Linked DNA regions of Neodiprion lecontei. The protein of the gene in region 2 purifies or fractionates together with the protein of the main gene of each other region. This does not show direct contact. Links are inferred from orthologs where the notes say so. Each region holds a gene or a part of one and is shown on either strand. Other genes may lie near its edges.

Evidence for each region.
Region 1: the proteins of protein smoothened (region 2) and beta-arrestin-1 purify together in Drosophila melanogaster (affinity purification with western blotting, with the first as the bait; 4 studies listed by BioGRID). This does not show direct contact. The link is inferred for Neodiprion lecontei from reciprocal best matches to the Drosophila melanogaster genes smo and krz.
Region 3: the proteins of protein smoothened (region 2) and transcriptional activator cubitus interruptus-like purify together in Drosophila melanogaster (affinity purification with western blotting; 3 studies listed by BioGRID, with this or other methods). This does not show direct contact. The link is inferred for Neodiprion lecontei from reciprocal best matches to the Drosophila melanogaster genes smo and ci.
Region 4: the proteins of protein smoothened (region 2) and ubiquitin carboxyl-terminal hydrolase 8 purify together in Drosophila melanogaster (affinity purification with western blotting, with the first as the bait; 4 studies listed by BioGRID). This does not show direct contact. The link is inferred for Neodiprion lecontei from reciprocal best matches to the Drosophila melanogaster genes smo and Usp8.

What each region holds. Positions count from the first base shown.
Region 1 is NC_060263.1:23,041,484-23,046,506, forward strand, and holds the start of beta-arrestin-1, read right to left. Parts: upstream 3,004-5,023; 5' UTR 2,443-3,003; intron 1-2,442.
Region 2 is NC_060260.1:28,862,929-28,870,556, forward strand, and holds the start of protein smoothened, read right to left. Parts: upstream 6,034-7,628; 5' UTR 5,896-6,033; intron 5,285-5,895; coding exon 4,973-5,284; intron 4,591-4,972; coding exon 4,150-4,590; intron 4,015-4,149; coding exon 3,842-4,014; intron 3,214-3,841; coding exon 2,873-3,213; intron 2,659-2,872; coding exon 2,457-2,658; intron 2,304-2,456; coding exon 2,130-2,303; intron 1,931-2,129; coding exon 643-1,930; 3' UTR 1-642. UniProt on the Drosophila melanogaster protein: Segment polarity protein required for correct patterning of every segment. G protein-coupled receptor which associates with the patched protein (ptc) to transduce the hedgehog (hh) signal through the activation of an inhibitory G-protein.
Region 3 is NC_060260.1:7,977,211-7,982,041, forward strand, and holds the start of transcriptional activator cubitus interruptus-like, read left to right. Parts: upstream 1-1,826; 5' UTR 1,827-2,923; coding exon 2,924-3,198; intron 3,199-4,831. UniProt on the Drosophila melanogaster protein: Has a dual function as a transcriptional activator and a repressor of the hedgehog (Hh) pathway. The full-length ci form (ciFL), acts as an activator (ciA) while ciR, its C-terminally truncated form, acts as a repressor. Involved in segment polarity.
Region 4 is NC_060265.1:31,615,605-31,620,271, forward strand, and holds the start of ubiquitin carboxyl-terminal hydrolase 8, read right to left. Parts: upstream 3,031-4,667; 5' UTR 2,789-3,030; exon of another isoform or gene 2,438-2,788; intron 2,357-2,437; coding exon of another isoform or gene 2,342-2,356; coding exon 2,063-2,341; intron 1,870-2,062; coding exon 1,493-1,869; intron 51-1,492; coding exon 1-50.

The DNA.
Region 1 (5,023 bases), on a different chromosome or scaffold from region 2:
GAATAATGAATCGTCATATCTCAACATTAGAAAATTCAGGCTGATTCCGGAAAAAGATTTGAGAATGTTCTGCTGTTCCGTTAGAGATTTTCGATAACAATACGACACAGAAAAGCAATCGAAGGGAAAGTAGTCTACGGTTATTCGAGATATGGAATTTCCCATAACTTACGTGTCTACATACTTGTTACGATAATCATACTCGCATTTGATACGGTATCCAAAATACGAACTATTATCATTACTTTATGAATTTCCGCTGTCCATTATGCTGCTACTGTATATTGAATGATGACAAAAGTCTACAGCCCACGATTTGTTTCGTAAATCTACATTTGTGTGTACACAGGTATAAAGAGACGACAATACCTATAACCTGTCATGATGATGAGGAATTGAGCAATTCAAATTAATAAGGTTCGTTGTCGAAAGAAACGTTTATTTAGAAATTTTAGGATTGTTTGAAATTCACCAATTTCAAACCGCAATAAAGCAAATCACGGTCATATTTTTTAATATCAACTACTTCCAACTAATTCTGAATTCGCATTGTAGTGAAACGCTACGAACTTCCACCTCTTTCAAGTTAAGGAAGAATTTGATGCGTGCATTCCCAATTATGCTCAGTTGACTCACAATATCGGTTAAGTCAGCTTTAACCGGCGCCAAGGAATTTTGCCACGCCGTGAGAGTTGTACGAATTATGTACGAGTTGTTGCTATGAGATGCTTTCAACTATTCAATAGACTTCATTCTACGACGGGCTCATTTCATTCAAAAGACTATATTTTCTACAAAGGCAATAAAACAGATCATTTTTACACTACTCAACTCGATATTGCCATTTTTTGATCATAATCAATATCGCTAAAATATCGTATTGTATTGTAATTTGTGAAAAGCGAAAGTCTTCTAAATATAACGAACCATCGTAGAGTGAAATCGAATATAGATCTATTATATTCTTAGCCATTTCGAAGCGATTTGAAACGAAGCATTGATATCCACGCTGTTGTTAATGTTTCCAACATTTTATATTTTTATATTTTTCATGAAATCTTCGTAGCTTGCAAATATGATAATTTGACAAACAGTAAATGTGCGATTATCTCGGAGTAAACTTAATAAAAATATTTCGAATTATGGGCAACCAACCACATTAAGTAACGCCTAATGAGGTTTCCGAAGAAACATGTAAACGTTAAGAAAATGTTCGCACAGTACCGTAGGCTCCGAATTTTCCCACGGTACGAAGTATTTCGGCTATGTGAATTCAGTTATAACCGATCTCAAACACATCCTACACTTTCTTAACGGATGAATGAGGATGTTACGTGAAGCATTCTAACACTCGCTTCGTGCATTTCGAGTAAGTAGTAGCAGCTCTATGGATTTCGTGGGAAGTTCCCACGTTATGCATCTAACAGGTTGGGGTAGGTCAAGTCTTTGTATACCTTTTTTTACACCACTTTTGATTCCTTCGACTAATTTCTCATACAATAGAAGAATTTTTCTACCTCTTCACTTTTCCCTCTTGTTTCTTTATATTTCTGTCGACGTTTTCATTTTCTTATCAGCGGTAAAGTTCATTACTCACGTAGGTTGTGCGATGACTGTTTTTGTTAAACATAACCGCGATGCATTATAATAGTAATAATATCGGTATCAATAATAATAACAACGACAACAACAACAACAATAATAATAACAATAATAATAAAGTTAAGATCCTCACTGTCAGCAAGATTTAAGTGTTTCACTTTGTTTCCGGCAGCGTTGGAAAAAAAGACATTACTATTTGTCATCAGGTGCGATCTAATCAGCCTTTTCCTCAAACTAAACTGGTGGTTGTGATAAAAGGAAACCTACGTCATTCCGATTCTTGGAATTCCGAAGCTTCGACAGATTTATTTGTTGATGCGAAACGACACCTCCTTGAAAGTGTTAATTAAAATCTCGCGCGCAATTGGATATAAATTTCGAAATTAATTATTCGGTCCCGCCACGCCTCCTAGAGCATATGTATAGTATTTGTTTAATAACCCTCGACCGTCCTAAGAGGCCGTATTGAGTAACGTAGGGTAGGACGAGTACTATTCGCGGGCGATAATCACAAAGTTGAAAAAAATTCCGAGAATTCTGACAGCGCATTTCTGGCGTCTGACGTCGTCGGTCGAGGGATCATGGGGACGAGGAAACTGAAAGAAACGAGTAAAAAATCACAACGAAACGCGGCGACGTACATACATTCATAGTATTCATACGTCAAACGTTGTTTGCCCGTCACTCAGTTGTTACCAAGAACAGCATGCAGGCGTAGATAGACCTCGATGAAAATCGTGTATAAAATAAATTTGTAAAAAGGTATAAAAAAAAAAAAGTATCTATGTACCTAAACGATAAACGTAGTGAAACAAAAATAGAGCGAGGGAGAGGACTCACCTAACTTGTCCTAGAGACCCCGTAGTTCCACACCCTTTTGCGATCGGCAATGAAAATTCATAGGCGAACGGCACCACAGTTTCAACACTCGATGAACTCACACTGCACCGGCATCGGGTTTATTGTAAAAAAAAAAAAAAAAATACAACTAATCGATACGTCGAACGGTTACAAAACTACGCGTTTGTATGTTTCAAACACAAAACGTACGTAGAGTACGGAAGGTACGATATCAACCAGCGAAGATACACATCCCGACTCTGATTACTGTGAACAAGTGATCTCGATTCCTCGATACGTCACGTCCGCGCCGTAGATGCTGGCGCCACAGGATAGATTTTACATAACCTTGTCGTGAAAAAAAAAAAAGACTCGCTTCGCGACAACCGCCGCAGATTAATATGACTTTGAAGCTGTGCGAGATCTTATTTTTCTCTCTGATATATCGGAACGAGCAAGACAGCGTCTCGGAGCACGGCGGATATGTTCTCTCGCGTCGGTTTATTACTGTCAAAGTGTCGACTGACCTAACCTCTCCCTCCCAAGTCCCGCTCGAGCCACCGCTCAAGTCGAATATCGACCGCAACCCCCTCCCTCCGCCCTCCGGCCGCTCCCCCCGCCGTCAAGTGACTAACTTCGTTCGCAACGTATTTGCCGCGACGCCAGTTGCGTGCTGGCCGATGCTGATGCCTTGTGCATCGCCTTGTGTGCGTCTGGTATGCGTAACTCGTAACGTGATACATGCGCCCTGGCTGACTCGCTACGCGCGCTGACCCGTTCTTTGTAACCGCTTGCACGAGCCGCCGATGGTCACGGACGAAAGAAAACATACGTCTACTTACTTTACGAAAGCTCTAATTTGATGTCAATAACTGTTATTTGATCTGTAAATTATTTTTACTGTACACTTCTTTGTCTATAAAAGTTATGAGAATCGATATTCAGCGCATGAATTCTTTGTTCATCGTTAATTTATTATTTACCCCTTGTGTATAATATAATGTCACTAAATAAGGATTTTCTCAGTGGAGATACTGTTTGCCTTATGTGTGCATTTGTGCACTAGTACACAGTCGTTATCTTAGGTTTCTGGTGCAGTTATACTACATGCAGTTTTTACATACACCATGGACATAGAGCGTGGATCACGCATACGGCGCTGACGTGTCCGGAAATGGGAGAGAGACAGAGCTATACCAGTGTATAGTAGAGATCAGTGATACCAACATCTCTTCCTATACTAACTGGATACCGTGTTATTTTCTTTGTTGCGTGTAGTCAATTTATCCATTACCGCGGGTAATTCAAATAATCATCGAAAATATATTTTGTGGGAAACCGTGGAAATTGCTTTAAAAGGAAATAGTATTCGAGGGATTCTCTATTTCAAATATTGTGCTGAAGTTTTAATCGTACTTACTACCAAATTTACATGAGAAAATAAAAAATATGAAATATACGCGGACGACATAACTAGGTTGACTGAAGAACATATCAGTTATATCATCATGGTACTGAAGAATATTTCTTCAGTCAAATTATTCTTGTTACAGATTGTCAAACTATGTCGATGTATCGTTTCACAATTTGTAACAAGAATGATCAATAAAAAAATAATGGACCTTTGACCAGACTTCTAAATTTCATTCACAATTGAAGTTATGTAAATGTAAACTGTCTCTATTTCGGACGTCCATTTGGCACAGTTGTAGACATACTCCATAATTCTGCACTCTAAATTGATTAATTGGATACAATTCCAAAGGCGAGTGTTTCAAATGGATGTTGCTAAACTTCGTTCGAAATCCTGCTAGCTATTAATAGATTGAAATTGGATCACTTATCAAAGTTTAGTCAGGATAATTGATCGAAAGCATCCTATCGGGGGATTCCTTACTTGTAGAAATTAATGATTCTGGAAATGACTACGAAGTCTAGTTTTGTTCTGAATATTCCTCTCCACGGCAATTATCTAGTGAATATCTCTTTTACGAATAAGAGCCTGCACATTGGGATGTTTTCGAGTAAATAAAGAAATATCCTAGCAGGGTACAGCTTTTCTATTTGGTTTGCTTGTAGCTACGTTACATATGGTTACAGAACATGGATCTTTGCTGCTTATGTGGATATATAGCTTGGAGACTTAATTAATGCGATACTTCTCTGTGATATCGAGATCGGATATTTTTCCAATAAGGAATTTTTCATTCATGATTTCAAGTTTCTGTAAAAATCTTGACTGCAGAAAGAAATTAGCTCCTTAAAATGGCGGTGTAATAACAAGAGAATCGAAACTAATGTTATTAGCATGATATTCGTAATTAGAAAATACCCATGATGCTTCATTTCACCCGCGACTAAACCGAATGGACAAATAGGAGAACATTTTAAAGATTTTAATATTTCATTCCATTAAGTTTTTTCGTTCGATTCTTAACTGCTCACTGACAATCCGAGGACTTTGATATCAATTTTAATTTAAAACTGTACAATCTCCGGTATGATATCTTAAGCACAAACGAAGTAACCATTCGTACTATAGAGTGAGCCTTCACGGGGCACTTCAGACATGCCGAATGTG
Region 2 (7,628 bases):
TTGCTCCAACAAGTTGGAACGTTATGCACTCAGTCAGTCTTGATTTGAGAATAAAAAAAATGTTAAATATGTAAAAAGAATTTGTTTGCCTCCATATTTTGCCAACTTCTGGCATGCATCTTAAATCATACCTTAATTAAATGTCAACAAGATTATGTAAAATGGCGTACGTGGATGCTCGTAATAGATAGCTTACATGAAAGTTGAAAAAAGTAAATTAAGGGCACATCATGATACTATAAATTATAACGAAATATAAGAAGTGTTGAGTACGTACAATTAAATCATCTGATTTCAGATGAATAAATTGTGACGGTTAGTTGTATAATGTTCAGTAATCATGCTTATTGAGTATCACAATTATTTGCTTTACAAAGTTGGTCAATTTCTCGAAATACATTTCCCGACATTGAACAGAGTTAAAATATACTTATTACTTAGCTGGATTTATTTTTTATCCTAATATAATGTTATTACGTTAAAAGAGTTACGTTAAAAGAAGTATAGATCTCAACAGTACTCGGCTTTACCTGAAACATAGCTTAGATTTGTTGAACACGCAAGTACGTATGTTGACTCCACACTACCTGACACTAAACCGGCTTAAAACACATTTCAATTTTCATGTATGACTAAACAACTCTACCTGATGTCAGAAGATTTACGATTAGCTGTTTTGTTGAGTTGTGGGGAAATCTGTGTCCCTTTAGAGCTACAATTTCTACTGTTAATTATTTCATCAATACTTTGCTTTAATTCCTCCATCTCTAAAATATCAAGAGGGAGAGAAGTTTGTGTAGCCATCTCTCTGGCATTGGATTGAATGTTTGCATCATCACTTTGACGCTTTGTTAACTTCGTTTTCGAATCGTCAGATTGTATGAGTCGAGAGAGCTCCGGACAGAAAGATGTCAAACTCGATACCAGGTCACCTTTTCTGTACATATCTTTGAGCTCTACTTCCATGTCTTTTACTTTCAGTTCTTTACGTCGACCACTACTGTCATGAATATAGCTCTTTGTACTATTGTTACTTGACTTACTTTTACTTCGCTCGGGAGGTTCTTCAACAGATATCATTTTCGTATTTTCTTCAGCATGGCTATCTTCGCTCTCACTGTCCTGCTCTTCTTTATCCACATTGCAGGCTTCCACATCGATGTCTTTACGTGGATTAATACGCGAACCTTTCTCTTCACTGCTCAAGTTTTCGTCACTCTCACTTTGTCCTGGGAATAAAAACGGCAATATCATGCCTGCGTTTTTACCATCTAGCATTTTTGAATTTATGGCTTGCCCATCCAGGCCAGCACTGGCAGATCTTCTTTTCATGTTTGGCATTTGTAAGGGCGGAATGTTGGGATTCCCTCCAATAGTCAAAGCTGAAAGAATCTGGGCTCCCAGTTCGCTCTCCTGTGATGTTGTACTACCTCTTCGAAAAAGTGGTTTAACTTTTCCAGATCTTGTCTTGTTGAAATCGCGCCTCCTACGTTTTCCTCGCCTGCTACGAGAATTACCAGGTAACGTAGTGGAAGCTACTTTTCTAGTTGTCTTAAGTTCTGCTATTTGTACAGAGATTTGGGAATCCAATGAATTTCTTCGGGACTCTACAGACACACGACGAACGCTAAAACTAATTTCTGAGTCAACGGAATTCCGTCGGTTGCTCGATACAGATCCTGTTGTTACACCAACTAAAGCACCCCTTCTTGTCACCAGCTTTGGTAATGCAGCTGCCCACGTTGAACTGAAGTCTTGAGAGGCTACTGAATTTAGTTCAAAATTTAGACCAACTGGATCTTCATGTGTGTTGTGGAAGCTTATAGATAATCGTCCAGCATTTTTAAATGTATTTCTCTTTTCATAGGCTTGAGCAATTGCTTTGTACTTTTTTGGTATAATTTGTTCTTCTGCCTCACAGTTGAAAGTTCTGTAATGATGAACAGATTCGAAGTAAGTAAATCAATATTCTTACGTAATCTGTGAAAGTGCATACTGGTGAAGAATTCTCAAGAACTCTTGTCATTCATTCGAAATGAATTTACTTTATCAACCTTCAACATAAAACTTAGTATTTGCACAATATCAATTTACTTATAGCTGCCATGTCTTGGGGAATTTGTTCTCACCGTCTAAGAAATCTTTTCCAGGTATCCACAGTTGATCCCGTCCAAACCCAAGAAGACATTAAAACACCAGCAAAGAATGGCGATAATAAATGTAATTGAAGCTTGGCCGCGCTGGGTCTTGATGTCATTTTACATTCTGATACTCCTGCAGTATATTTCGTTGTAATAGTGCAGCTAAGCATAAAATTGGTATTCATTTAAAAAATTATACATTTACTATTGTCCAGTATTTTGTAGCAATATAGTGATAGTGGTCATACAAAAGTACTCTTTAAAAACAATTATTAACAAAAAATTCACAATAATTATGCATAACCAAACGCTTACATCATATAATCTCGGAAGCTTTGTTTCCATTCCCACGAGTGTTGGAATTCATGGATGTGACAATAAAATGTTACTATTACTGCCACAAAGGTAAATATCGAAAATAATCCCAATCTCACAATTGTTTCTCGAATTTTGGAGCTAGCTCGCTTAGATATTACTTCCTGACTGCTTATCTTCAGATGAATTAACGTTATCAATCCTGAAACAGGAGAAACTTTTGAGAAACTGATTTTTCGAATCAATTAGAAAATTAGTTTATCCAAGTTGTAGAATCATCAATTGACAGATATACGAATCTTGCAACATACTTACTCTTTGAGTACGAGTGGAAGAAAGCATAAAAATAGAATGGTATAATTAGATTATGAATTACTGCATTGTACTGAAAACAAAATCAGTTCAAAATAATATACCTCTTGATAAGAAATATCCTCCAACAAGTAGTACAATGCAAATAGGTCCCAATAAAAACCACGCTCTCACAGCGTGATTTGCATAGCCCACAAAACATATTCCAGTAACACTGTTTCCATCTATTTCTCCCAGAGCCATAATTGTGACTGTCAATACTAGCGGAAGACACCAAGCGATGAGATGAAAATAAGCTCCTTTTTTATCAATTCTGTCCTGGATCTTTCCAAGAGCTTGAAAACTCATATGCCATGCGTACGTAAAGATAACAAACCAAACCATAGCTGCCATCAGAAAATAGTAAACGAGAACAAATACCACCACGCAGGATAAGTTCTCACCGCTGCAAAACAGATATTCGTTGTGTGATTAATTTGATTAAAATTTCTGAATCAAGTTTGCTTCATTTGCAAAATGATTTCAATATTGGTACATAAAAATAAAATTACAATCTACTCGTGACACAAATAAAGATATCAAAATGGCTTGAAGGCGATTTTTATTACAGTAGACTTTACTTAATAAGTATTCTAGTCAGACACTCAGTTTATCATTTGTAGAACCAAATCAATGATGTGATGTGACATACACATGTATCCTATCAATTTAAAGTACTTGATTAGTTATTCAGTATAGCCTAGCAAGGAAACTGTTTCTGAACGTAAGCAATACGTGATTTCCAAGGAGAAAAACTACATGTATTTGTTACCAAGTAATATTAGTGTAGTATATTCCCTGACACGCACTCACTTAGGTATACAAACACAAAGTATTATGAGTTTATTGTTCATATAAGGAATAAGTGGTTATAAATAAGCGCAATTATTCGCATTGCTATAGTAAAATACTGATTCAGTAGGGCATTATTTATGCATCTAGCGTACTTAAGGCCCGTTGAAAAATCAGTAAGAAACAATGTAATTAATCTTATTCTTTGCAGAAGCTCATTTTCAACTTAAATTTATATGTACCTTGGTTCACTCATTCTTAAAGTGCCATCTTTTCGGCAAACAATAACATCTCTGCTACCAGGACCGAACTGTGCCAGCCACCCTACACACGATACCATGAAACAGCTGTTGATGTAGAATATTACTAAAGCTGGGTATTTGTTAGCACTCCTCCAGTCAATCAAAAATGTGACCTAAACATAACGAACAACTTCTGATGAATTTTCATTGATCGAAAGTCACAATTCATAACTAAAGCTTGATATATACTTATAGTTCAATGCAACTATTCAAGGGGCCAAGTTCATTATCGCAATCTACTAACTTACCACGGTAAACAAATTGAACAGTAGGCAGGTTGCAGCAGCCCATGCGACAAAGGAATGGATTTGACGCTGTTCGTCCGGTGTGAAAAGTGGATCGCTGCACTGAGTGCCGCACCCTTCAATACCGTCGAAAATTGATAGTGAATTGTCTGTGTGTATAAGTGGCTTCAGGCATTTACCGGAAGTGTTGAATTTCAAGTCTCTGACATCGTTTTTACACATTTTTGGAAAAAGTTCTGCATTTTCACATCTGATGAAACTTGGCCAGATTGTGTGATTAAACAATAAACGGCATGGGCCAGAGACCATTTTGCACTTCTCTTGCGAAGGCAAATCTACAATGCCATTGATGCATTTTGGCATAAAGATTGAACACAAAAATGGTTGAACTACTGCCCAGCATTTTGGAATGTGCATAAGACCACGGAATTGGTTCAAGTTCTCCTGTGAAGATGAATTCAAAATACATAGATCCAATTAGTTAATTTGAAACCAGTTAAACGTACACAGTGAAATACATAGAGTAACAGTTAATAGAATTCAGAGTATTTTAAAGTCTTGAAATAAATCACCTATGATTCGGTTTTAAAAAAATTACATCATATAATAGAAGTAAATTGAATCTCAAGATTACCATCAATACCAAAGCTATTCTTAGCACTAATAGAACTGTTTTTCAAGTATTGCTCCCGAACAGAATCACAATAACCCGTTATAATTGGAACAGATTTTTGACAGATCAGGTACTGAGTTCAGGAGGTATTCAGTATAAATTTTCCAAAATGCATGCTTCCTTATCATTAATATACATATGTACAATAATAACCTGTATACTTCCTTCTAAGGTAGAATCAGGGATGAGGTCTAACGTAGTAGTTGAATACGTCAATCTAGTACCCATGCACAAAGTATTGTTGCTGATATCAATACACTTTGCCGCTTTTCTACAATTTGCAGACTCTGCACTTGTATATCCATCCATCAAGAAACTCTGGTCTTCATGTCTGAGCCCTGACCTTCCAATCTCTATTCCATTCCAGGTTTCATTATTACCATTGGCAACAGACAAAAAGTTCCGGCTTAGTTCTGATCCAACTCCATAGAATACGGCCATTATCAAAAAGGCAAGCTGGAGCATCTAATTACAGAGAATGCTACACTTGTAGTCTTGTTTTTAATGCACGTATACAATATACATATATTCTTTCCTAGAAAGCAAGTTCAAGTAAAATAGACTAAACTGAGACTATCATCTTGCGTTATTTTATTGATAGTAAAATAAATCTCATAATCAGTAGCCAGTTTCTCAGGTCTATCTGGAAAAACCAATCTTTTTACTACAAGCTGATCTTGTACCTATTGACGAGATGTTGCTGTATATTCATTTCAATAATGATTTTTCAAAGATATAAGTACCAATAATTCATGTGTGCAAGTTTGAGTACTATGTTGACGATGATGTTTACAATTAAAACGCATGGATGCTTATCAGGATGCCAGGTTCTGACCATTCTAATTTAACATTTACCATTAAAAACATGATCAGAATCTGACAACCCAAATATGTGTATACACGCGAAGGAGAAATAATATTGTTATAATAAATAATATTTTTATGGAAAATTGGACTTACTGCACACAATGCACACCACTTTATCCTCAAATACCATTAATTATAAAGCTCCAAGAGAAAGTAAAAATTTTTAATTACTTAAAAATAACCGGGATGTGTAATTAACGATCACGTACCTTGATATCGAATACTCCTTGACCAAGGTAAGTAATTATCAGCCAATCTTTCCACGACAACCTCTGACATTTGTCCGATTTGTCATCAGAGCGTCGCCGAGAAGCGTCTTTTCAGACAAAGCGATCCGCATGCAATCGTGCCCGCAACGCATTCTATAGCTGACGACGCCGGGCGGCGGGTAGTCGGGTATGCCGGACGAAGGACCACACGCACGTTGCTCCCTGCCCCCGCGACCACCCCCCGATCCGGGTACCTCGGGACCACCCACGACGTCAAGATCCTCCATTCAGTCGGCGATAAGTTGCTACCAGGAAGGAAGAGGGGAGGAGACCTAACTCTTTCCCATGGAGACTACACAATGAGCAAGAACTCAAGTAGGTGAATTGACTAAACTTATCACAGTAATCGTTTACATTAGGTTTATTTTTTGTACCGAAGTGTCATTGGTTGCAGGGATGCTCAAGCCGACTGATCGATGATCTTGCAATGTAATTCGTAGAAAGTTTCCACTACCACCCCATACCCCCTGCACTGCCTTCGGTGCATACGGAACACCAGTGTCATCTTAATTCAGGCTGCTACTTGATTACATGGAGTTCGTGCTCCTTGTGTAGTTTCCATACTCTTTCCGAAGGCAAAGCTGGGACACATCTAAACGTCTTCAGTTCATCGTAACGCATCCAAAACCGAGCCCTTGCCGTGCCCGTGAGTCGTCAGCGTCAGCGCATAAGTCTTTTACCGACATCTTGCGATAAGTTACGGAAACATCACTCTGTAAAACACCACGGAGCTAGGATTGGTTATCTCATGCACCATTTCTACGCCATGCCAGTAGCAGCCCAGTGCAGACGGCATCGCACACCTGTCAAAGCAGACGAAGTCGTGAATTTAGTCCACTGATATCAAAGAGAAGGAGGGATTGGAGAACTGTCAGATCCGATTTTTCTAATGGTTCCACTGACGTTGAATTTAGCCTTGAAGATCTGACTCATGAATGGTGAATTTGTGTTACAGGTGAGTAAGCAAAAGTTTTAAAGTTTTTAGCAACGGCTGTTAGACCGATTCTCGTCAGAGAGGGCTGAGGAAGTGCGATAAGACCCGTATGCAGATTATTTACATACTGATAAAAACTTCCCGTTAAACGTACGTGAAACACATCTGGGGATTAAAGAAATAAGAGACATTATGTTAATTACCTGCAGGCTATTCTAATGTACTGATATTAGAATAATCCATAATGTGCCATATGCTGGTGATACTAACCTAACTTCGTATTGTACAAACGGCAGACGTCAAGTGTGTTATCGAAAGCGGCTTTACCAAATATTTTTAATACTTTGCATTCCACTTTTGCGACTCTATATTCTTTATATTCACCAGCTTATTTCTCTGTTGCGACAATGTACCGGCGGTAAGTGTCTGATAAAAGATATACCTCTTTTTTTAACTTTACACTTATGTAGTGTTTTTCTTTGGTTATACTCAAATCACACTGAATGCAGCTTGATTATCACATGAATAAATCCGTAATATGCTAGTAACACTTTGCTCATGACATAGTGTGTGCAGTAAATAGACATTGAAAATTTTGAAGTAAACATAATCTGGAAAATTGAATTTTTATCTCTCGAACGTCAACCACTCATGTGTCAATACAGAGTGTTCATTTCTCACATATTCCTACATTCATGCAATACGAAATTATTAAAATAAAACTCAAGATGACGTAATT
Region 3 (4,831 bases), about 21 Mb from region 2:
GCATGAAGAGCCCCGTGAGCACCTATATACTCACACCTCGTACATCGGCGGTCTGTGCAGAAGGGGGGTAAAAGAGAGGACGGGATAGGAGAAGGATGGAGAGAGACAGAGAGAGAGAAAGAGAAAGAGAGAGAGAGAGAGAGAGAGAGAGAGAGAGAGAGAGAGAAACCGAGCGCTGCAGGTGGAGGCGGCCGCGTCACCCGCCCGTCCGCGGATTCGATTGAATCATTACGATGCGGTAGGTGGTTGCGTGGGTAACGGTGAGCAGCGGCGCCGAGAAGAGTTCTGCACCCTCGATTTCAGGATCTAATGACTCTATTCCGTTGATACGTACGGCGGTGCTCCGTTTCCGTACGATGTATCCTATCACCGGTTAGGTATGATACGTTTCGATGGTTCGGATCAGGATGTGGAGAGTTAAAGGTAAGGAGAAGTATCTCATATGGATATTCGAATGAGAAAGTGTTCGCCGATAAGCAGGAAGTAGGGTTTCAACGAGACACCGGAACGGTGCTCGTGAGGAATAAGGGAATCAATCCGATTGGAGCTTTGTGGAGCTTTCGCTGCAGCAACGCCATCCTAATTTCTCTCTACTTTACGGAACACTTTCCGCACACTGGAGATAGTCCTCCTTACCTCTACCCTCGATAGATTAGGGAAAGAGGGTTCACGTCGAGGGGCGGAAGGGACTGCGAAATTCAACTCTTGTGAAAACAGAAAGCGTCCTGCCGTATAAGCAGGATGACAACTCGCCCGTGTCTCTGCGGCTGTAACCTATACACGAGAAAGGAAAATTGGAGGAGAGAAAAAAAATAATAGGCGAAATAACGTGGAGACATCACCAGGGATCACCGGAAGTTGTTTCAACTCAACACCGAATTGGGACTTCGGCTCCGGTGGCATGTGGCAATAAATACCTATACTTGAGCGCGTCGGCGCGGAAAGGAGCGAACTCGGGACTAGTTCTCTCATTCCTCTATCTTGTAGGTCCCTCGAGTTTCCCGATCACCCCAATTGAGAGCTGACGGCACATCCGCTAAATTTCTTGACTTTTTACCATTATCATTATTACTGCACTTCTCGCCGTGTAACGCAACACCCCAAAGTTGGGGAACGTAGAGACAAATTCCTGGAGTGAAAAGTGAAATTCGTCCGACTCAATATCGACGATATCATTTTCCAGCTCCCGCCCCACGTTTTCATTCAAGACTCACCTATCTTACAAACTCACCGCAATTGCGCACGCAGGTTGTATAACGAAGGCTGTGCAGATCACTTTCACAAACGCAACGACACCACCTCGGTTATCTTCGTTTCTCCTCTCTTTCCTCCTCTTCCTCCCCCGCTATAGAAGAGGGAACGACGACACCCCACCTCGTCCACCTCGTCACGCGAAGAAGAAGAAGAGGAAGAAGAAGAGTAAGAAGAAGAAGAGTTCTCTTCTTCCGTCTTTGTCCCGCTGGAGAAGGACGGCGGGGAGGAGCGGTTGGGCTGTTGCAGCGCGAGGCTGGTGCTAGTTGAGTTGTCGAGCTGACACGCGCTTTCAGCCCTCTCCTCTCCTCTCTCCTCTCTTCGCTCTTCTCTCCTCTCCTCTCCTCTCGACTCCTCTCCTCCCTCCTACGCGCCACCACTCTCGGACAACTCTGCTCTCCTCGTCGCGCTACCCCTGGCTATTCCTCTCTCCCTCGCTCTTATTTTCAGTTTTCTCTCATCTTCTCACTCGCACAGCACCACCAGGCAGGCGGTGCCGCCGCCGAGAACGAGTGCCGGGAATGCCTGGCCGCCCCTCTCTTCGCATCGCCGAGGACTCAGTACCGCCATACCCGTCAAAGCGTAAGGAGCGCGACATCACGTGGAACTACAAACACGTTGTTTCTCTACACCCACGATATCGCATCGCACCGTACTCAAGACCCAGTATTTCCATCGAATTCGACCACGAGTCCCTTCGCTCCTTATCATATTCCAACGGCAATTTGGATTTCTTTTCTTTTTCGGCTTTTCCGCAAGTGTGCGAATTCGGACTGTCGCTGTCACTTCGAGTGTCTCGTTTAAACCGCGGCGTGTTTAAAATAAAGAGATAAAACTTGCTGTCGGTCGAGTTTATCTCAACGTATGAGAAAAACAACACAAAACGTGCAAGATGAAGAAGGATTGACGTGAAGGATGTGCGGCAACCAAACCGATAACACAGTGATTAATACTTAGCCGCAAAAAGTGATCGAAATAAAAAGAATTCATCTGTAACTGGGGGGTGTGAAGTTTGAGTGGATTTTTTACGATTCGTCGAGAAATATACTGGAGGAAAGTAAATGAAAAATGCAAATAATGTAACCGCGTGGTTTAAATTAAGCCGTATGCGAACGTCACCCCGTGTGTGAAATTCTGCGTTGCAATCGAGAAAGAGAGAGAGAAAGCGAGAGAGAGGGGAAGAAAAAAAACACTAGTGCGGTAAAAAAGTTGACTCGCAATCAGGATTAGTTCGGGTAAAGAGTCCAGCTCAGGGGATCGGATCGGTAAGAATGTCAGCGAAGAACGAGGACCCGAATCAGGGTTAGGGACCGTCGGGGCCCATCGGCGACCAGCAACCGTCGATATCCTGGGCCGGGATACGCGAGAACTAAACCGCAACCACCGACGAAGAACCCGGACGATAAGCGACGGCCATGCGGATCAGGGTGAAACTGACGTCGAGTACAATAAAGGACCTGCAGAAATCGTCGCCGCGACGAACCCGGGATATTTAGGCGGCCCCCTCGACTCGGATCGCGGGTTCCACCTACGGCTGGAAGACCGACGTCGGTGTCCGAGCGACGCCGACTTCCTCGAGCACATCGGTTACGGGGCGAACTTCCGGGCAGCCAGGAACAGGGCGTTGACAACCCGGGAGATAGAGCTGGAGGTTGAACTCGAGGCGGCCAAGATGCCCGAGAAGGAAGTCGCCTACCATCAAGAGACCTTCTCCCTTTTGCCACCGCCACCGCCCCCGCCCCACCACCACCATCACCACTCGGCTTTTCACGCCGCGTTTCACCCCCACGGACATCCACCGCCGCCCTTTCACCCCCATCATGGACCGACGGCTCATCACCCCGCCGCAGCTGCCGCAGCCGCAGCCGCAGCCGCCGCATGGGAGCACCACGCCGCAGCGGCGGCCGCAGCAGCAGCCGCGTTTCACGCACCGCCTCCGCACCATCCGTAAGTCCCAGTTTTCGATCCTTCTTCAATCGCAGTCCGCGGATAATGTTTGAGAACCGCCGATTGTTTGCACTCTTCGCCAGATTTATGCATACCTAACCTTCGCTTATATCTGCACGGAACGTTTTTAGACAGACCACGATACGTATTCCGGAAGTTTTGACCGATCAAGCTTGAGCAAAGACTCAAATTGTCACGGATACCGGGTTCCAGTAATCGTCAATGAATGGTTGAGATTGAGTGGTACGAATCGTTTACCACTTCATGCGCGTCAGGTTTCAATGATCCATCACGAACCGATTACTCAAGCTTGGTGATACAGTAAGGATTTGAGTTTGCAATAAAACTTGATAGATATTATAGAAACGTTAACTTCGTGCACAGAATCCGATTCCTTACTAACACATTGCCCAAACACGTCGACCAAAACTGCTAAATGTAGAACAAGCGAAACCAAGAAATCGGTGAGACAGAAAAGTGCTTATCACGTCGAAGAGAGAATCAACGCGATAATGAATCTTCGGTTATTATATATAGAACATACAAGACTGATTTCTCTGACAGATATGATGGGGTGCAATATGACGGAGAATGAAAAAGAAATATTGTACGCGTTGAAAGTTTGTCAAGGTTTCAAATGGAGTTAAGCTAATTGCCGCGTATATCTCCCAACATTGTTTTCCTTCTTCTTCCACCGCGCAGTAACATTAGACTATCACTGCACTTATCATTACCTACCTATATAGTAACGTTTGACGGAATCGTTCGTTAGGCTCTGCTGTTCGTAACACGCGGCACCCGAGAGTACACAGACTAAACACGATTCGAGTCCCCCGATCTTCATAGTTGGAGATTACCGCGAGCCGCGGCATCGAGTTGCAAAAAGATATAACGCGATTATACAACTAACGGCGTTCCGAGTTGATATCGGGGTATATATATAGTAGTTTGATATTATAAAATACAAACAACGCACACGGACGGACTCTCGATGAATCGGGCGCGGTATCAGTGCCGGAAAAGAATAAAGAGGCCGATGTATATTTTTGGCAATCTAAAACCTCGCGTGTTCCCATCATCATCATCATTATCATCATCATCATCATCATCATCATCATCATCATCGTCGTCATCGTCGTCTTCGTTCCTCCGTTCACTCTTTGTCGGGAAAGAGAGACCTTGCGCGGATCTTTGTTTTGTTATGTAGATTAGCGCAGGTATAAAGGTATATAAGCCAAAAGCAATTCACCTTGCTGAAAGATGAAAAGAAATTTTTCATGGATTCTTTTCAGAACAGATGGGGGATATTCGAGTTCATTATATCGATAGAACGTCAATCTTCGGGGGGGCATATGCACAACCTGCGACCAGCAGTTGCGTGCATCGCAGGACACTACACGATATACGTACCAATAATATACATGATAAAACTGATTGCCGCGCTCGTTCATATAGGTGATCACCTATACACACATACCTGCTTTATAATTGTGCAGTAAAATTAACCGCCTATCTCAAGTTGATACTCAGATAACAACGGCACCTCGGTAACCCTTGCATTCCATTCTTGTCACTGCGGTGTTGCTACCGAGTGCCTGCACTTGCGGCAAGCACTCACCACGGTGCGTGCAAC
Region 4 (4,667 bases), on a different chromosome or scaffold from region 2:
ATGTTCTCTCATCCCCGTTCAATCGTTTAAAAAGATCGGTAGCTAGTATTCTGAAATATTAGAAATACTAGAAATAACCAGCGACATGTTTCATTCGTTTAATAAATAACAATTCAAGAATCAGTATGAAGACTGGGTGTATTTGGGAATAAAAAAAAAAAAAAATACCGGGTTTTTCTAGAATTTCCCAGTGAAAAATATGTTTCTCCCAAGTGCCTAGACATAGATTATTGATATTACTCTGCATATCGAGGAAATTACAAGCCTTTTATATACTTTTATAACATCGCGCTTTAATTTTCATGAATGTTATTTATAGCTTGCAAAATACGAAATTCTATCAATAAAATTTGAGATCACAGGAATGCGTGCGGGAGCTTTTCATCACCATGTTAAGAATTTCAGGGTACATTGATAATTTAAATGTGTAAAATATTTTAGAACCTTTATTTTCACATCAGGTTCATCGTATGTCTAATGGTATAAGGATGTATGTGTCATTATACGAGCTTTTACCACATGTAAAGATAAAAAGGCATATTTTTTTTCCTCGATCGTATTTAAGCGAAAAATATGAGCATACATTCGAAAACATTGAAATTCAAAAATGTAGTTAATGTAGAGCGTCGTACGTACGGTCGGTATGCCCTTTAATCACAAAGTTTATGAAAAATAATCATGTTCTCTAATGGTGTAAGGTCGCATTTTCCCACATACAACCTTATACCGTTGCGTATGATGTTATTTTTTGAGAAAATAAAAATTTTAAACATTCTTCCCAAAATAAATGAATCTTTACTTTTCAAAGATTTTTAAAGCGTTTGCAAGAAAAAATAAATTGGCGAATACGCCCTTGTACTGTTATGTCCGATATAATTATTTGTGAAAAAAAAATTTTTATCCTTTCCGAAATCAATAAATCTTTACATTCGAAAGGTTTTCAAAGCTTTAAAATAAGTTGGCGAATACGATCTTATACCCTTACGTCCAACCATATTTTTTGACAAAAGACGCAATTGTAAATTTTTTTTCAAAATTGAGAAATCTTCATATTTTGAAGGGTTTTGCATTGGTCGCGAAAAAAACACAAAAATGGCGGATGCAACCTGATATCATTTATAAGTGTGATAAATAAAAATATTTTTTGGTGCAAAAGGGCATATCCACCAAACAGAGGGCCATTAACCTCTGTAATTTTTACGTCTAATTTTTTAACAGATTTTTTCTTCCGAGAAATTCGCATCTTTGGTGCATATGTCTTTATACCATTAGACAAACGATATTATTACACTATGTCAACCAGGCATAATGGGAAAAAATTTTTCTAAACAAAACATGAATTGTGCACTAATTGTGCAAAATTTATCTTACTATCACAGAGTACCAGAAAATTTCAGTTTTTCCCCAGTAAGAAAAATTTCTGGCATTTCTCCAGTGCGTATACACCCTGGAAGAGTATCTCATTTAAAGCCAATGAAAACTGTGTGTTTACCCAGTCTTTATTAGGTCAGTTGGAATGTTTATGCATTGATCGCTTCTGATATGTGAATTTTGAAAATCTCCTCGCGGTCTAATATCAATTATTATTATTCGATCAACCAGTTTTTGCATTTCTTGAAACATCTCCATGCATGTTATCGACGTTTCAGTCAGTTTGGTATCTGGGTCATCCGTCGGTGTGTCGGGTAAATTCAGCTCGATATCCCCAACTTCATTTAACAAATCATCATCGTTCATGTGATCGCTTTCAATTATCACCTTTTCAACAGTATTCAGTATCTGTTTAGTATTCTCTTCCAATCGTTTCACCTTATACCTGTTTTTCAATCTGTCAGCAATTTCCTCCAAAAGACTTAGTATCTCCTTTACCTGTAAATCACACACACTTAGCTGCCTAATTTAAGTAATGATTTTCGAAAAATCAATACTGCTCAAAAGTCAAGCAATTTTTCCTAAAAGGTATGAGGGCTGGATAATGTACTATTAAAAAAAAATGTTGGAAATAGGTCAACCTAACATTTTCTGCCATCTACCAAAATCTATAACTTTTGCCCAGGATTACCTTAGACCCCGAAACATAAGGCTTGAGAAAATCTTTGTTTTCTGTAAAATCAGGCGTTTTTTGGAGCCAGCGAATGCAGTGAATCCATCGCATATAAACTATATAAGCCATTTCATCATCTCCAGTCAATCTGTGTTTCTTTCCTTCATCCAGTAATTTTCCCAAAGATTTGCATACCATCTTAGGATTTTTTTTTTCGAATTTAACTTCTGCTTGGCTCGTTAAATCTTCGAAACATGTGGCACAATGAAGCGGACAAGTGGGTACAGTACTTGGCATTGTCACTGTAGGATTCTGTTTTTAAATTAAAAAGTCAGTCGGGTCTTCTGCTTAACCAACGTTTGAAACAGACGATTTGGAAATTGAGGTTCGTACAACTAGTTATTCCAATGATCAATTGAAAGTTGCACCGACATCGTGAAGTTTCATGAAAATTGGTACACATTGAACACGGTTCAACATGTTTTAATAACTTTTTTTTTATATAATACGAACTAAAAAATCGGTATCTGTGAGTTTGGGATAAAGCCAAGCTTCTATTAGTTGACTGTATTTCGAGGATTCTACAGATCCGATCATTACAAATACGTAGTATGCCTCATGAAAGGTATGTACGTCACACAACATTGGTGGTTATAGAAACGGTGACATTTGCTTTCACGTCTCTTTCGTCGTTGATTTGAACATACTAGTGTTTTAACAGTGGAAACAGAAAGATACAGTTACCCGCAACTCCCAACTGACAGGTGACAAATAATTAAAGTCAACGCAGGTAATCGAAGGCACTGAAATATACTCCACCTCAAACGCGTACCGCGCACACGGAGGTATTCAACTGGATCTGACTATATCACGGTCTTAATGCATCAGCAGCAAAAATGCTCTGATTGGTCAATTATGCTATCGGTTTTATGCCTAACTACAATTGTTTCAATTTTCCTGAATAAGCGGTCGAGTTATCAAACATTGCAATTGTGTTATCAAACACCTGTAAATGACCAACGATTGCCAGTATGAGGAATGGAATACAAAGCAATTTAGTGTTGAATGAGGAGCTGTCGTACGATGGTCGTACGTTAGGTGCGCCTGGATTGGGCAAACTCCGGGGACTATTGCATAACTACCCAGGCAGCATTCTGTTCACGGACCTCAACACATCCGTAGCATTTCATGTAGCATCCGATCATGAAAGACCGTGTTCGGCAGCACTTTGCGGCAGAATTAAGGCTGGAGCACATAAAATTACAGAGGCCATAGGCAGAATGCAGAAGCCGTAGCACATGCGCAATTGCAAAAGGCCAGTCCGTATGGTTTATGCATTCTGCCTATGGATTATGGATTTCAATCTACATAAAGATCCATAAGCCATATTCCATGGCATATGGCATAACGAACAAGAATTATTGGTGTGACAAATTTGACAGCAAACGGCGGGAAACACGCGACTGAATGCATATTTTTACTTCCTGAGGCATATAAACCAATTGGTATATATCACCTCATATTATACATGTATTTGATGCGGTAACTATGGGTTTGAAGTTATATTTCGTAACATCAGATGCTTTTGTAGAGTTTCGACTGCTTTTTTACATCCATGTGAGTACTTATATCCTTATTTTTTCAATATTGGTAAGCTTTAGGTTATATTTTTCTGACGATATTATTCTTTCCACGCACTTTATAAGAACACATGTCTCTATTTCGATTTGTGATTTACGGCAATTTTTTACCGTACTATTAATAGTCTTATATTATCGAATTCCTTCATATCATCTGTGTAATTTGGATATTTTTTTCACATATTATTATCATCTTCTTAATATATATAAATCTCGTGTCACGATGTTTGTCCTCAATGGACTCCTAAACCACTTAACCGATTATAATAAAATACGCACACCATGTGCAGTTCGATCCAACTTGAGAGATAGGATAGTTTAAATCTCAAATTATAGTCGCAATTATAATATATTGCTAATTATTTGTCTGTTATTATTTGACAGTCACAATTATCTGTCAACTCCGAATGATTCTAACAGATGTCGATACCTTTCGACTGGGTTGAGTAAGTAATCAATAGATGGCGCTGCTATGGTAAATCTACGAACGTGTAACATCCGACCGGAACGTCCGTATGTTTTATCGACTATTATTACTGCATGTTACTTTTATCAACTAACCAAACTCGAAGTACGAGAATCTTGTAACCATAAGAAATTAAAACAACTGTCTAACTATTTGGAATATCCCTAGATGGAAATAACTATGAAATTCACTAGCCAAGGCTTAAAAACCATGTTACGAGATCTTCGTACCACAGAGAACTATAATACTATTATGCGTTATTATATATCACTATCATATTAACACTATAATTAACTAACACAATTATACTCAATTATTATATAGCACTCAACAATGCCATTTGTGCATTCGGAGGTGAGAGCTATACTATAAGCAACATACGCTTTACTACATAGCCCGGAGTATAGAAGATTGTAAAACCATAGATAAATGCATAACCAATATAATGTAAAGATAGCACTGCTGCAATAACCCATAAAACCAGAGACTGCAAAACCATCAAACCGTGAATGCTAAT